3 linked regions of the Neodiprion lecontei genome follow. The protein of the gene in region 3 binds, or shares a complex with, the protein of the main gene of each other region. Links are inferred from orthologs where the notes say so. Each region holds a gene or a part of one and is shown on either strand. Other genes may lie near its edges. The genes, in order: NADH dehydrogenase [ubiquinone] 1 alpha subcomplex subunit 8, uncharacterized protein LOC107221970 and NADH dehydrogenase [ubiquinone] 1 alpha subcomplex subunit 13.

The links.
Region 1: the proteins of NADH dehydrogenase [ubiquinone] 1 alpha subcomplex subunit 13 (region 3) and NADH dehydrogenase [ubiquinone] 1 alpha subcomplex subunit 8 are in contact, whole or in part, in a cryo-EM structure (PDB 8ESZ), measured with the Drosophila melanogaster proteins. The link is inferred for Neodiprion lecontei from reciprocal best matches to the Drosophila melanogaster genes ND-B16.6 and ND-19. Residues at the interface, in NP_001284943.1 of Drosophila melanogaster: Arg63, Asp64, Ile66, Glu67, Met68, Ser70, Ala71, Asn73, Val74, Ile75, Phe76, Pro77, Ile78, Val80, Ala81, Glu82, Arg83, Asp84, Arg85, Phe87, Leu88, Arg89, Leu91, Arg92, Arg93, Arg95, Val110, Gly111, Val118, Glu124; in NP_001163296.1 of Drosophila melanogaster: Val2, Ile3, Thr4, Asn5, Asn6, Thr7, Thr8, Leu9, Pro10, Glu11, Glu12, Leu15, Asn16, Val17, Gln18, Glu19, Leu20, Leu27, Arg28, Ala31, Phe32, Leu34, Gly35, Asn42, Phe45, Met46, Arg49, Asp54, Pro55, Arg56.
Region 2: the proteins of NADH dehydrogenase [ubiquinone] 1 alpha subcomplex subunit 13 (region 3) and uncharacterized protein LOC107221970 are in contact, whole or in part, in a cryo-EM structure (PDB 8ESZ), measured with the Drosophila melanogaster proteins. The link is inferred for Neodiprion lecontei from reciprocal best matches to the Drosophila melanogaster genes ND-B16.6 and ND-15. Residues at the interface, in NP_001284943.1 of Drosophila melanogaster: Leu79, Glu82, Arg83, Glu86, Phe87, Gln90, Arg93, Glu97, Glu98, Leu101, Met102, Asn104, Val105, Trp108, Gly111, Thr112, Trp113, Glu116, Pro117, Val118, Phe119, Lys120, Thr121, Leu122, Thr129, Pro130, Ile131, Phe132, Lys133, Glu134; in NP_001162841.1 of Drosophila melanogaster: Phe30, Lys33, Asp52, Leu53, Ser55, Asp56, Glu59, Cys60, Met63, Lys65, Gln66, Leu67, Met68, Arg69, Phe70, Ala72, Met73, Arg74, Glu76, Arg77, Gln80, Glu85, Arg86, Phe92, Ala93, Asp94, Pro95, Pro96, Arg97, Val98.

What each region holds. Positions count from the first base shown.
Region 1 is NC_060263.1:14,711,507-14,715,106, forward strand, and holds NADH dehydrogenase [ubiquinone] 1 alpha subcomplex subunit 8, read right to left. Parts: upstream 1,821-3,600; 5' UTR 1,691-1,820; coding exon 1,562-1,690; intron 1,249-1,561; coding exon 1,073-1,248; intron 976-1,072; coding exon 753-975; 3' UTR 618-752; downstream 1-617. Other genes in the region: inositol hexakisphosphate and diphosphoinositol-pentakisphosphate kinase 2, read left to right, coding at 2,752-2,784, 3,469-3,576.
Region 2 is NC_060260.1:32,705,285-32,707,919, reverse strand, and holds uncharacterized protein LOC107221970, read right to left. Parts: upstream 952-2,635; coding exon 652-951; downstream 1-651. Other genes in the region: cytoplasmic tRNA 2-thiolation protein 2, read right to left, coding at 2,248-2,635.
Region 3 is NC_060262.1:19,822,498-19,826,409, forward strand, and holds NADH dehydrogenase [ubiquinone] 1 alpha subcomplex subunit 13, read left to right. Parts: upstream 1-1,929; 5' UTR 1,930-1,990; coding exon 1,991-2,090; intron 2,091-2,226; coding exon 2,227-2,377; intron 2,378-2,458; coding exon 2,459-2,666; 3' UTR 2,667-3,338; downstream 3,339-3,912. Other genes in the region: myotubularin-related protein 10-B, read right to left, coding at 135-259, 369-524, 1,057-1,251, 1,457-1,519; uncharacterized protein LOC107227562, read left to right, coding at 3,354-3,699.

The sequences.
Region 1 (3,600 bases), on a different chromosome or scaffold from region 3:
TTCATTGTCAGATATTGGTATTCGTGTCGTCAGTTTCACAAAGTAATTTACCTGAAAAATGAATTTGTACATATTCTATTTTACCTTGAGAACATTGACTTTGAATTTAGATTGTTTGAAACCTGCTATATGTTTTGGAATCAGCAATGATTAGCTATAGAATAATTTCATTAATATGCTTGTAATTGGTGGTTAATTACATTAACAAGTTTCAGCATATTAGAACAGCAGCTGAAGGCGTATTTATCGCAATTCCGTTGTTAAGGCATGTAACGGAACATTTTTCATATTTAATACAACGGTCAGCCATAAAATAATTGTTAGGTTAACTAACATATGCTCTGTTCATACATAGCCAATTTTAATTGAGAAAGACATACCTATGTGTACTTACCACTAATAATTTATATTTTTTTCAAATTTTGAATACATCACAAATTGTCCAAGGATCCATTAAAATTCAAGTAGGTATGGAAATTTTTAATCAAACTCTCGAATGTATCCCAAATGTACAAACTAAATTAGAGTTTCAATTTCATTTGGATCATCTTCCCCTTACAGGAAATATGGCAAGATTTTTTTTTCAATATACCGTCACAAATAAATGGGAAATAAAATTATAGTACAGGTATAGATTGTATTTACACATTTCCTGTACACAAGAGTTGAGCACTACGATATGATATAGTACACAATCCGTCCACTATGTTCTATAAATAGTTAATAAGAAATTGATTCCATACTATGTGTATTTAGTTTCCAAATATGGATCTTGCACCAAAACGTGCTGGCAGGCGTTCGGCGTCATCCGGTAACTTTGGCGCAGCATCAGGGTAAACTGCTTTGGGCTCAGGTGGTGGCTTGGGCCTGGGTGAATCATGGACCTTTACTTCGCAGAAATATCCAAAGGACGGCCGCTCTATATTCAAGTTATCCAAAACACATTTGTCATAGACCGCTTGTGTCAACCGACAGCTGAAAAGACAAACGAGGAAGATTTTAATTGCTTTGTCGAGAAAGAAAACAAATGCTTCTAATTGCTATGGCAGCCAATGATGTCTAGATAAAGTACCGATTAAATGCCATATCTCCGCTGCTCTTGTCCAGGCAGGTTGCGTACTGAGTAAATTCATCGTAACAAGTTTTCTTTAATTTGCGAAAAAACTCCAGAGCACATGCAGTCACTGCTTTGCCTTCGTTCAAGCAACTTCTAGGATCATCCTCTTCTTGACGGCACAACATAAATTCCTGGACAGAACAAACAGCATTGAAAATCGAGGTTACTTATCCATAGAATTGATGCTTACAATCAATATCTGGTCCAGAAGATACAAATCATCATCAAAAACAACAAGCCAACTGAAAATTTGTTTTATTTGAGAATAATGGATCGTAGACTCTATTTCTATGCTCCATAAATTACATAATAATTCTAGTAACGTTGGGAGGAAAGTTATTTGGGATACAAAAAACAGCCTGAGCCTGAGTCGGAAATTGAAATTTCGGAGTATCGATGGGTCGATGAATCAGCCGAGCTACGTGAGATTGAATATTCATTTACGTTATTGTGGTGCTCGCAATGTTTGCCCATATGAAAAGCTGCGGCGCGCAGAGATGCTGTACCAACGTTAACCTCCTCAACAGTCAGTTCCTCTTCGGAAGGCAGGTACGTTGAACTTGTGATAACCATTTCGTACCTCTGTATCGGTTAGCGGCCGCTTTTCTATATAACTTAATTAACTTATTTTCAGAATCCTCAAGAATCCGTGCAACAACCCGAATGTCACAAATAAAACCCCCTCGACCTGCTCACTAGATCTGCAAACTGCAAAACGCAAGTGACGCAAGCGCAGATCCAAAACTCCGGTCGAACAGCTGAGAGACAGATGTGACAACTCTTAAACGAAAAATAACCGATTCCGACTCATTTTTAGCACACACTTCGCCGTCTACTGGATTCGTTGTCGCGACGTTATTGCAGTAATTTCGTCGATTCGTTGGTCGCGTCGAGAGAAGAGGGAAGAAGTAGGTGATGAAATACTTATGCTAATCAAATAATTGTGTACACCAATGTTTCGTAACCCGGACGGGCAACTCTGGACCGCTAATCAGTAAAATATAACGAAATAAACAAAATCCAGCTGGTCACATCGAAGTATGACACGCGATATGGCTGTCAGCTTCACATAAAATAATCAGATTATCACTACTGCGTGCTAGGTAGAAACTGACAACTTCGAATCACACCGCGCCTTTCTTGCTACACTCCAAATTATATTCAAATGAGAAATACTTTCGTTCCTTCATATTTCAGGTACAAACACAGTGTTACCTACTTCAGCTCCGGTACTGTTGTCAATATTCCAGCTTTGCCATCATTTCCTCAAATTGGAAATCAGTATTTTATGTTTCAACCTTATAAGTTTCAGCCAAATTTTCTTTACAAAGATAACTAGACTCTAGGAATAATTTATTTGTCAGAATCGCAGTTATTGTTACTGCGTTCAACTCACTTCAGTGAATTTTGGGTACAGATTGTAATGTTATGGCTTTTTTATGTTGTAACTGACAATTGTTTCAATGCTCAGGGTCAATGCAAATATTTGATTAGTTGGTAACAAATTCACAGACTAACTGCTAAGTGTTGCAAAAATTACAGAAATAAGAATGTGTATTCACTCTAATAGAAACACTGACCACTTGTCATATGATATGTAATTACAGCGAGAAAAAGAAAGAGACTTCTCTGATATGTCTTATACGGAATTAGAGTACGGCTACCAGGTAAGTGTATTCATTATCGACTCTGTATGAACAATTTTCTTTTCCTGTAAATTTACGCTGTTTTTTTTTCTGTAATTAACGAACTAGCCCAGAGAAAGTATTTGAAGATCATATAATCGTTTGCATATAATAACAAGTTCTAAACTAAGCATTTGCTGTTGGACTCTGAGTTTTATCATACCAATGAATATCCATCAGTAATTTGGTTTTATTACTATATATTTTTGCGCCCTTAAAGTGGTCAATTTTGAATTGAACTCTTGATATCATTAGCTTGTGGCTGGTTTTTATGCCTCCCTTTTTTTCTTCACGCTTGGTGCTCTTTCAATTGTAATCTACGAATATTTACGACTATGTTGACCTTTAGCCTACAGCGGCAGGCTCAGCCTTCTTTGCCTAACATAAGTTTATTGTCACGGTACTTATCTAGATGCTTTTACGCGTAGCCATGGACTAACAATAGCACCAGCTCATTATTACTTCCTAACAATTAATATAATTTCGGTTCTGGTTTCTTGGATCTGAATTTGTCATGATTTTTTTTTTCATCATTCGGGGAAGGGGGAAAAAATAGAGAAAGCAGCAAAATCGAATTAGACACAACAATGATCACAAGCCACGCATTGATCTGCTATTGGCAAAGCAACCAAACGATGTCTTACTTAGTTTGCATTCTACGAACAGGATCTGAAGAATGCAACAAGACCAGTCTTCTACGTAGGAGATATTAACCCAGGGCAATCCCCCCTCGTCGGTCAGTCCTCATCTTCGATCTACCATTCCTCGGTACGAGTGAGTTCAACATTTTAATACTAA
Region 2 (2,635 bases), on a different chromosome or scaffold from region 3:
AATATCCGCGGCAGCATCTTACCAACATCTGTGAAATTGTTTAGATTCATTTTACTTAGATTGTTCGCGATTGACACTAGACGTTAACTTTACTGTCCGTTATGTAACTAGTGCGATGTTTTGATTAGTTTTGATCAAGGCTCTTGATTTGAAAATTTTATTGGTTTTGGTTTACGTCCTTGAACGGCTTACCGAAGACTACTCCGGCAATCAAGTATCGTAATGTATTCATCCTGACTTTGTTAACACTTCGGCCTTCAGTGATCAACCAATCGGCAAGCTTTCATCTTCCGAATTTCCCGAAATGGAATAATGTGTGGTGGCATTTAGTGAAGAATGGAATATTTACTCTTTCCATTATGAATATTTGAAAATGTATGTCAATTTTTCGTATTTGTAACAATAATATTCGTTTGAAATGGTATTTGAGATGTATCTTTTGTAGAAATATTACTTCACACCCCGATATACATGTTTTGACGGTGCAACTGAAGTGGAAGACGAACAGAATTTACTTAGGTAGGAATAAATTTTATTATCAAAGAAACGAATGACACGGTATAGAGCTGTCATTCTATGTTTTTTTTTTATGTCTATTCCAGATAAGCCAAGTACTACAGATTAAGCATTATTAATGTTGATACTTAGATTTCAATAGCTGTCTCTTTTGGGGGGATCAGCATACGGTTTCGGAATAATTCCTTCCTTGTATTGGCGAGCCTGCTCTTGTGCGATGGCTTGGACACGTGCCTTTTGCTTACCAAGTGTTAAGCACTCGTGGTAATCCTCAAACATGTCGGAACACTTTTTGTAGCCCTTTGGTATTCCATAAGCTTCCATGCATTCGTAAAAATGCAGCTCGTAATCTTTACATCTATGCGATTGCTGAGCATTGATAAGACACCCTGTCAAGTCCATGACGGGTGTGCGGAATGCCGGAGCAAAATCCATGATTGAAACTCTGAAACATATGACATCCGGTAAATGGCATTTCAAATAGAATTCATTTAACTCGTACCTCGCTTCTTAAAACCTTCGGCTCTCTTTTGAAATTGTTGCAATTCATTAATATATCAACAACCTGTACGTCAATTATGTGTAAGTAGTGTACAGCTGATATATAGAAACATTCTCGAGGAAACTAACTGAATGACTATCAGATCCGCAACCTTATGAATAAACTTTTTCAAATTGAGTCAATATTCGACTACCGTACAAAAATAAATTAGAAAATCGTAGGGTGTTATTTGAGCAATGACAAGAATATGTTTTGCTCATTCTTCAGAAGTTGTTGAAATAAAAATAATACAATCTATTTGATTATACGACAAATGAACAATGTATTATAATAGGAATAACACGTATTATAATAGGAAACCGAATAAACGTGATGAATTTTGCAAGAAAAACATAACCTCAACAACGTATCTGAGCTTATGCAACAACTTATATAACCCCGATAAACAAAGTGAATTGTGATGAAAAAGATTGATAAATGCATCCTATCATCGTAATAAATCCATCTTATTGTTCGGGGATATTTTATTAGTTTGTATCAACTTATTGCAAAAACTCACCGTTGACTTCGTAGGTTTCTCCGAATATAGCAAACGTCACTACAGACGTGCTATAGAGACACTAGCTCTGCTCATCGGTTGGCACCGGAAGCTCGTGGAATTCAAAATAATATAATAGCTCACACTAGAAGACTCTGTGGAAAACTAGAACCTGCATGTCTCGAAGTTTTTTTCCTTTTTTCACTCTCGAAGATAGTGCCTAAGAATAGACTCTACGAAAGCAATAAAAAAACTAAGCATTTCAGCATGATATAATATAAACGTGAAAAAAAATCTTGTTCGAACATTGTTAATATTTTCTGTTTTATATGTTATACATAAGTCCTGATTTACATTTACGGCATTTGCATTCAGCACAGTTCGGAAAACCGCGTTCACATTTACATGCAAAATTTGATTCAATGCAGACTGTGAAGAAATTGAAGGATCTTAACGATGTTATCATTTTTTTTTTAACTCATTGCAGAAGCTGTATAAAGTTGTAGTTGTAAAAATAAATAATCTGCTTCAGATTGAATTATGAGCAAAGAAATATTTTTTACCGTCATTCAGCCGATTAGTAACGCCAATACTTGGAATTATTGTTACTACTAATTCTCGTCACGAGCAAACAAGGATTTGGTATGGATATAGTTTATTTACAACGAACTTATTGAACAAGATATTTTAATCACAATAAAAAATCTGCTATCTCCTCTCGCATATCATCTAAAGATATTCTTTGCCTTACGGAGTTTTGTAAAAAGTCCGGAATGCTGTGTTGCTTGTCCAGATCTTTAAATATTAATCTGCACCCATAGCACAGGTACTTCTCAAAATTCTTGGCAGACATTTCAAATTTCTCTTTGCCTTTGCTACAGCTACAGTTGTCACAATTTTTCGAATCACGTAAAGGTACATTCTCAGCTGCATCGATGACACAAGGAAATTTTTTTAGCTCAAACGCGGCTTTGCCAATATTACCCTTTGGCCCTTCTGCAGATATCAATTTGGAAAACTCTGTGGCCTGCAGAGAAGAAGTGTTCGTAAATACTGTGTCTAGCTGAGCCCTACACAGG
Region 3 (3,912 bases):
TGCTATAGATAGAAAAATACACTGTCTTAATGACAACAATAGCAATATAATAAAGGGCATTTTACAACTATGTATTACATGTAATTGTAATAGTAATAGTAATAATAGGATGGGTCATTACTTATTATACTGACTTGTAATCATATGCAAACAGAAGTTGATGCCTACTAGGGAAAGCGTGATGCAGTAGAGTGGTCAGTAAATTTTTACCGCAACCGACTGGTGAAAACTTAAATGAAAATGACCACGTCCTCATATTCTGAAATCTCATATTAATTACTACATTTCATCACACAGCAAGAATACACGTGTATGCATAGTATATAACACACAAACACAGACAAAGTTAAGGACCAGAGATAAATCACCTTGCAGACGATGAAGATTCCTTCTACTTTGGAAGGTATCGTACTTCCTGTATAGAGTCGTCTTTTTTTGTCACCTATGATTATATAAATGTCGTGTATATTTGACAAACATGTGTCTGTATATCCGCACAGATTATTTTGCTGATAAGTTACATCCTGAAAAGAACATTATTGACACTATTAATAAAACTAACCTCAGAAGAAGAAGACTTGTCAGCTATCTGGTCAGTTGTTCAGATATTTAAACAGATGGCATATTATAAACCATCTGCTTTATGAAAACTACACTGAGAAGTACTTAATTAAAGATATTGGTTCAACTGTGCATGCAATTTACAATTAGTTACAGATTTTATACAGAATGTCTTTCCATGTCATCCTTGACCAAACTAGACATTATGACTGACTAACGAGAAAGCTGCTGATACGGAAATCTAAGGGACTAATTGATATAAAATGATCACAACTTGTAAGCTAATTATTTTATGTATTTGTTGATCATTCCTAACATTCAGGGGTTTTTTATCAAACATGAATCATGAAAAACATGAGTACACATTAAACTATTCTGACAATATCTTGTATTAATGCCCGCCTTTAAAATAACGCCATAAGAATCCACGTCTGTGCAACATCTGCAAATAATTTAGCAGATTTGAATGAAACAAATAAATTTGAATATTTTTACCTCGCTATTGGTATCGTCAGTGGTGACGAAACTGAGCTTGAAATTTGTTACTGACAATATTCCGGATATTCCTTGGGTCAGATCGCCAACAGGGGCAAACATCAATACATTTTGTGCCTTTGCGATGAGAAGTTCACCAGCGAGTAGCTTCATGCTATTTTCAGACAAAGAATCCCGATGGCTTGTACCGAGCAGCTGAAATCAACAGTGAAACGTGAAGGAGTTTAGGATGTTTACACAGTATTACTTGATCAAATTCCAGAGCAAAATATCACATCTAGTGGTACTTCTAGGTTAAGTTCAAGTATTTACATAGTCATTCTGCACCATCTAATTACCAATTGACATATGAAACGCGGTATTTATTTTCGGGGTAAACATGAAAATTATAGAGGCCTACCTGCATTTCGTGTTGTTCGAAACCGACATAGCTGATAAAGTTGTTGCCAGTTTTGTTCTCCATTGTAGCAAGCTGCTAGCCGCTATCAAAGGAGAAAAATATCCGCCTCAACGATGAAAATCTCCGGTCAATCAATTTGTCGGTGGTATTTTAAACGTCAAAGGAACTTTTGAGGCGGGGAAAACACGCTGTTTGACATATTTCAAGGGAATTGAGAATGGCAAGACAGCAACGATGCGAAAAGGGAATTTGAAAAAAAAAAAACCAAAAAAAAAATTTCACCGAGGTTCTGTGTTGATGATGAATTTCTGATAACGAAAACTCAAGATGTATAATGAAATGTATGTAATACTGTCTGCTCAATCGCTGCTGCCTTTAATCATCGTCACTGATAGATCTCTGCAGAGGGCAGCACTAACTGTAACAAGGCCGCGATTTTGGAACGACACGCTTGTCCCGGTTTCCTCGCTAACATTGTTTAGTACGCCGTGGTCCAAGAACGGTGTTGGTGTTGAGTGCCACTGCTAGTGCGACATGGCGACCGCAGCCAAAACGACCCCGCAAGATTTGCCGCCGAAGGGCGGATACGGTCCAATTGTGACCGAAAGGACTAAATTGCGGTCCATTTTCAGCGGTACAGTATCACTCGACTTGCATCAATTCAAGTCACGAGTCACAGTTTCTCAGCTGTTGCGATACTTGGTTATGTTATGTAACTGGAGGTTCGATTTAACCTGCAGATGATTAGTTGTTCTAATTTATGTCCTTAGGTCGGTCGATGATACTTGGATATTTCGCTGTCACGTCAGTCTCATTCTACATTTACTTTAAGGGCTATAAAGTCATAAAAAAACATGAAGTTGAAATGAGAAGCGCCAGAATGGTCATGTTCCCTCTACTGCTTGCTGAACGGGATCGAGAGTATGACAGTTTAATCGACTTGGTTTGAACAAGTTCTTATTTCAAAACTTTTATCTTGATTGCGGTGTTCCGACTTTCCAGATATTTGAAGCAGCTGAGACGGAATCGTGACTCTGAAACGGAACTTATGAAGAACGTTAAGAATTGGGAGACTGGAACGTACTATGGAGAGCCTATTTACAAGACGGCCAAGAGCAGTAAACTGATAGATCCTGACTGTCTTGAGTATTACGCTTTTGCTTCAGATAAAGATTATCAGGACCGTGCTGAAATCTCATTGTGGACTTAAGTTTAAAACCCAAAGTAGATTCCAGAGAGATTCACATAATGATATTTTAGTGCTGATTGTAATTCTTACATGTGTTAAATAAAATTGTGTATGATGGAAACAACGCAGAGTCTTACGAACATGTTTGATAACTATTGTTCATTTTTAAGATTTGGGAATATTTGTGTCGGCAATTAGACTTTTGTAGTTATATATTGTGAAATGACTTTTGCTAAACATTGACGTCAATTTGATTGAGAAATCCAAGAAGATTTTGTGGAAATTTGGCATAGACTAGAAAATTTGACGAAAATAAGCACATTGAATGTCATATCTGCTTAGTTCTAGATTCTTAGTTCGGCTATAACTAGTCTACAAGTGAAGGTGAATAACTCTGCTTTATAATTTATGTTATAAATATAAATATAATTTATAACACGACTAACATATTTAAAAAATAAAAAATTGGAATAGCATTTCTAGAATTATTTAAGATTGGATTAGAGCATTGAAGTACATATTTTGAATTGTGTAGCAGTGCCTAAACAGTGTTTATAATCCGAAAATCGTGAGAAATATAAGCCTATCATCAGCCAACTTTTGGAAACGAGGAAGCTGAAACGACATATTTGAGTGGTGTCCATTATGTCTTCCCGCAAGTTTCAAAAATAAATCATACATAAAAACGTTGAATTTGTCATTTTTTAAATGCTGCCCAATCGAATATGCTTCTTCCTACACTTCCAAATAAAAAGTCGCGTGGAATTGCGTCGAGCGTCGCTATGGAGACAATGCTTTGTTAGTCATGTTAGTGTTTCTTCGGTACGGATTCGCGGTGTTTTTCTCTCAAATTTATGCAGATCTCGTCGGACTTTGACGGCATGTGTGATGGAGGGATCGAGGACAATGGAAGAATGCGATGAAACTTGTTCCTCAAAGCAGGATGGCGTTGCTGAGATGCGACCGGAAAGTCGCTGCGAGGATCAGCACCGCTGGCAGACTGTGACGAATGATTCGTATCAGGCCCCGTTGCCCAACCTTTCGCGAACATTGGGTAACACTTCAAGTTGCTATTTTCCATTCGTAAGACAGTTCAAGACAGTTTAAGGTCGATTTCGACGTTGTCATATATATTTTCAAATATCGAAGTCCACGTATATCAAACGCGAAACGGGGCTTAACAGAACCATTCCATACACAATTTCAAACAAAAACACTTCGATGCATTTTCATCCGACGCAGAAATAAAGAAGTAGCATGGATTCTA